Callithrix jacchus: one gene and its partner. The protein of the gene in region 1 interacts with the protein of each later gene in a biochemical or structural test. Links are inferred from orthologs where the notes say so. Each region holds a gene or a part of one and is shown in the gene's direction. Other genes may lie near its edges.

The links.
Region 2: the proteins of EIF4G1 (region 1) and EIF4A1 form a complex in vitro, tested with the Homo sapiens proteins (3 studies listed by IntAct, with this or other methods). The link is inferred for Callithrix jacchus from reciprocal best matches to the Homo sapiens genes EIF4G1 and EIF4A1.

Annotation. Positions count from the first base shown.
Region 1 is NC_133516.1:13,309,757-13,312,577, forward strand, and holds part of EIF4G1 (eukaryotic translation initiation factor 4 gamma 1), read left to right. Parts: intron 1-171; coding exon 172-270; intron 271-374; coding exon 375-509; intron 510-628; coding exon 629-710; intron 711-839; coding exon 840-980; intron 981-2,821.
Region 2 is NC_133506.1:74,070,945-74,073,261, forward strand, and holds the end of EIF4A1 (eukaryotic initiation factor 4A-I), read left to right. Parts: intron 1-60; coding exon 61-204; intron 205-284; coding exon 285-422; intron 423-542; coding exon 543-632; intron 633-670; exon of another isoform or gene 671-811; intron 812-880; coding exon 881-960; intron 961-1,058; coding exon 1,059-1,203; 3' UTR 1,204-1,712; downstream 1,713-2,317. UniProt on the Homo sapiens protein: ATP-dependent RNA helicase which is a subunit of the eIF4F complex involved in cap recognition and is required for mRNA binding to ribosome.

The DNA of each region.
Region 1 (2,821 bases):
GACTGTAGGAATGGAAGGGCTGTGCCTGTTGGTACTTCGATAGCATCCTTAACGCCTGGCAGGGACCTAGTAGGCTTTCAGTAAATATTTGTTGGCTTAATGTGGTAGGGCCGTTGGCTCCTTGGAGAGAGAGAGAGCGTTGCTAAGTTGGGTTGGTCTTGTGTTTCCCAGGGTCCTAAAAAGGTGGGGACGCTGTGGCGAGAAGCTGGGCTTAGCTGGAAGGAATTTCTACCCGAAGGCCAGGACATTGGTGCATTCGTCGCTGAACAGGTTTGGGGCTGGCAGTGGGTTAATTCTAGCCTTTGAGGCTGGCCAGACTTTCTTGTCTGACACTAACAACCTTACCTCTTACCTGTGGGTCTTTTCCATCGCAGAAGGTAGAGTATACCCTGGGCGAGGAGTCAGAAGCCCCTGGCCAGAGGGCACTCCCCTTTGAGGAGCTGAGCAGACAGCTAGAGAAGCTGCTGAAGGAAGGCAGCAGTAACCAGCGGGTGTTGGACTGGATAGAGGTAGGTTTCTCCTGGATGTCGATAAAGGAGACGAAGTTCTTAGGGTGGGGCGGGGGCAGCAGGGATGAAGACGAAGGGCGCAATTCAGAACTGGGGGTTCATTTGTTTCTCTCATACAGGTCAACCTGAGTGAGCAGCAGATAGCATCCAACACGCTAGTTCGAGCCCTCATGACGGCTGTCTGCTATTCTGCAATTATTTGTAAGAAGAACCAGGGAGATGGGGGGCAAGGGTGGACCTGACAGGTGGAGGGAGGTGGGTGTCAGTCTTGGCCTCCTCTTCCAAACAGGGTGAGGGTTCACGGCTCCACTCATTCCTGTCTTCCTGTAGTTGAGACTCCCCTCCGAGTGGACGTTGCAGTGCTGAAAGCGCGAGCGAAGCTGCTGCAGAAATACCTGTGTGACGAGCAGAAGGAGCTACAGGCACTCTACGCCCTCCAGGCCCTTGTAGTGACCTTAGAACAGCCTCCCAGTAAGAGCCAGGCCACGGGCACGGGGTGGGGTGGAGGGACTGTCAGATAGCAGGGCATAGTCATGGACCTTCATGGAAGGGTCTCAACCCAAGAAAGGTCGGAGTCATCGCGGAGTAAAGTGCCCTCAGGGTTTCATTCCTTCTGCCTGCGTTTGTGGTGGTGTCTCCAAGTGGAAGGAGTTCCACAGCCTTGAAGGGTCATCGACTGCCTGTTTTGTGCCTAGCCATGTGTTTGATGCCAGCAGTGGAGGTGATAAATGACAGCGTCTTCCCGGTACTGTGCCCCTCCGGCCTGGCACAGGGCTGAAATTCTTCGCTTACCTTGCGTCATGTAGTCCTCACAGATGTTTAGGGTGGATGGTATTATCCCTGTTTTCCACACTAGGAGGCCAAGGTCTAGGTGACGGTGACTCAGGCTGTGCGTCCAGCACATAGGTGTGTGTCAGGGTACCGGCATGCTCACAGAGGAAGCTGAGTAGCTTCCTGTGCCGGCATGGAGGTGGCACTGACGTGAGCACTGAGCCTGGAAGACGTGTGCTCTCGGAGGGAGGACACCTGGCCTGAGGGGTCATGAGTGGGAATTTGCTCCACAACAAATGGGAGGGGAGGGGGAGAATGCTTGAAACAGGCACCATGTGTGTGCTTTCTACCTAAGGTAGGAAGAACTTGACACAGGGGAAGAGAACTATTGAAGAGAGGGCAGTGTGGGAGAGCATAGCCACCAGTCATGAGTGAGGCAAGATGGGGCTGAAAGGGATGCGGGCCTGACCATCCAGGGCTGGTGTAAGCCTTGCCAGAGTTCGGGCTTTGGCCTAAGGGCAAGAATTTTCTTTTTTTTTCTTTTTTTTGTTTTTTGAGATGGAGTCTTGCTCTGTCACCCAGGCTGTAGTGCAGTGGCGTAATCTTGGCTCACTATAATCTCCACCTCCCGGGCACAAGCAATTCTCCTGCCTTAGCCTCCCAAACAGCTGGGACTACAGGAGCCTGCCACTATGCCTGGCTAATTTTTATATTTTTAGTAGGGATGGTGTTTCACCACGTTGGCCAGGCTGATCTCAAACTCCTGACCTCGTGATCCACCCACCTTGGCCTCCCAAAGTGCTGGGACTACAGGCATGAGCCACCATGCCTGGCTGCCCTTGTGGGATTTTAAGCAAGGCATAAAGGAATTGGACTTTAGTTTTTAGATCATCCTGGCCATAGAGGGAAGATGATTTGAATGGGGTGAGGGAATGTGGCACTGTTAGCACCAGAGGCTCAGCCTTGCTGGTGACAGTGGAGAAGAGAGGGCAGATCAGGAGATACTTAGGAAATGGAGTTGGCAGCTTTTAGTTACACTGGCCTGAGTAGGGGCCATGAGAGATTAGAAGTCATGGATGACTCGCAGGATGGTTTTAAGTCATGGTGGGTTTAAAGAACAGAGTGTGGTGTCATTTGCTGTGGTAGGGAATGCTGGATCAAGTTGAGTTGTGGTCCCTGAGTAAGGGAATCAAGATGTCAGCTCGACAGCTGGAGTATCTGACCTTTTAGAAAAGAAGAGGTCAGGGCAGGAGGCAGCTTTGTGAGTTGCAGGCACAGGGTAACTCGTGGGAGTCAGAGGAGGTTGCGGGCTTGCCTGAGGGGGAGGGACAAGGGCCTGAGATACAGCCCTGAGGAGGTGGAGCGGACACACTGGCAGGGATCAAAGGAGGACAGGCCCCTATGAATCAAGGACAGAAATTTGAGGAGAGGGATGTGGCTGATGATGCTAGATGATGCTGTGAGTGTTGGCAGGAGCAGGCCTAGAAATGAAGGGCTTCTGGAATATCAAATCATAGAGGCCACCCAGGCAAAATCAGTAC
Region 2 (2,317 bases), on another chromosome or scaffold:
GAGCAGGCGTCAGAAAGGACACCTAAGAAAGGCTCTAAGGCTGGCCTTTTTCTCCATTAGGTAGTTTTGCTGTCAGCTACAATGCCTTCTGACGTGCTTGAGGTGACCAAGAAGTTCATGAGGGACCCCATTCGGATTCTTGTCAAGAAGGAAGAGTTGACCTTGGAGGGTATCCGCCAATTCTACATCAATGTGGAACGAGAGGTGGGGCCCAGTGCAGGAGGCGGGTCTGGTAGTGAGTTGTTGGGTATAGCCCCTGACTGATTTTGTCCCCACACCTCCAGGAATGGAAGCTGGACACACTGTGTGACTTGTATGAAACCCTGACCATCACCCAGGCAGTCATCTTCATCAACACCCGAAGGAAGGTGGACTGGCTCACTGAGAAGATGCATGCTCGAGATTTCACTGTCTCTGCCATGGTGTGTTTGCTTGTTGCCAGCCCTTTGTGGGTCTGCCCATCAGAAGTGTCCTCCTCCAAGCCAGTGTTCCCAAAACCCATGTACCTGCCTGGCCTGTTAGATGCTTATTTTCTCTTCTAGCATGGAGATATGGACCAAAAGGAACGAGATGTAATCATGAGGGAATTTCGTTCTGGCTCTAGCAGAGTTTTGATTACCACAGACCTACTGGTGAGTAGAGGGAATTTACTGGAAAGGCAAAAGGGAGGATCCAAGGTGATTCCCTCTCCAAGGGGACTTCCAGTGCCCCTCTCAGGAAAGTAGCAACTTGGAATAGAATCTGGCATGCCTAAGGTCTTTGGGGGAACAGGGATGCTTATTTCCTCTGCTTTCCTTGGCTGCCTACATGGATATCCATGTGTCATCCCTTTGGGATAGGTTCTCATGCACATGCTGAAGAGTTGTCTCTCTTGATGTAGGCCAGAGGCATTGATGTGCAGCAGGTTTCTTTAGTCATCAACTATGACCTTCCCACCAACAGGGAAAACTATATCCACAGGTAAGTGTACATCTGGAACACTGCCCCACCCCCCTCATGCCTGGCCTTCACTGGACTAAAGCTCCTCATGTTCCTCATCCCCTTCCCTTGTTTTCCAGAATCGGTCGAGGTGGACGGTTTGGCCGTAAGGGTGTGGCTATTAACATGGTGACAGAAGAAGACAAGCGGACTCTTCGAGACATAGAGACCTTCTACAACACCTCCATTGAGGAAATGCCCCTCAATGTTGCTGACCTCATCTGAGGGGCTGTCCTGCCACCTAACCCCAACCAGAGTTCAGTCTTCGGGGGGGCTGAGGAGTAGCAGGCGGGGGGAGGGAAGGGAGCCAAGGGATGGACATCTTGTCATTTTTTTCTTTGAATAAATGTCACTTTTTGAGGCAAAAGAAGGAACCGTGAACATTTTAGACACCCTTTTCTTTGGGGTAGGCTCTTGCCCCAGGCGCCGGCTCTTCTCCCAAAAAACACTAATCCATTTCCCTAACCTAGTAACCTCCAGATCCCAGAGGCTCTCCTCACCTCAGCTGAGCTCCTTTGAAAGTGATTCAAGGGACTGTGTCATTCAGCCTCATTTGCTGGACCAAATCTGGAGGAAGAACCCTGAAAACCCCTCAGCAAGATTGCCCAGGGGATTGTCCCCAGGTGGGGGGAAGCAGGGGAGAGAAAATGGTAGCCATTTTTACATTGTTTTGTATAGTATTTATTGATTCAGGAAACAAACAAAATTCTGAATAAAATGACTTGGAAACTGCCTGTTTGGGCTTCTCATTTCTTACCTCCCCTACCCCCTTCCACCTGCTATTGGGTGCATCTCCCTCCCCCCTTTACTAGCAGATTGTTGCTTTTCTTGCCACCATCTGAGCATTCCCAAACGCTGAACAACTGTTCTTAGCACTGAGAATGGTGATGGCAGGAGTGCTGCCCCTCTGTAAAGGGCTGGGTGTGAACATCACAAGCCCCTCATGTGCCTCAGTCAAAAGGAAGAACTAGATGGGCCACCCATAAGGTCAAGGAGAAAGGGGAGTGGAAACACTGACTTCCCCACTGAGGGAGGGGCTGTTACCTTAGACGTCTGCCCCAACGGCCAAGCAAGTTTTGCTGAGAGGAATGGGTCCCTGCAGGTCAACAGCCTCAGGGTTTTGTATCCACGTGACACTGTTGACTTTGCCCTGATTGCTCCCGCTTAAGTGGGGGCCAACAGTCCCCTAACAATTTCGAAAACTAATGACTAAGAGATGGGTGGCTGGAGCTGAGGTCCCTGAGTCAGGCTGTGGGTGGGATCATCTCCTGTATGGGAAGTGAGACTTCTCATTTCCTCCTTTCCAAGAGAGGGCTGAGCCAGTAGGGTTGAGCAACTG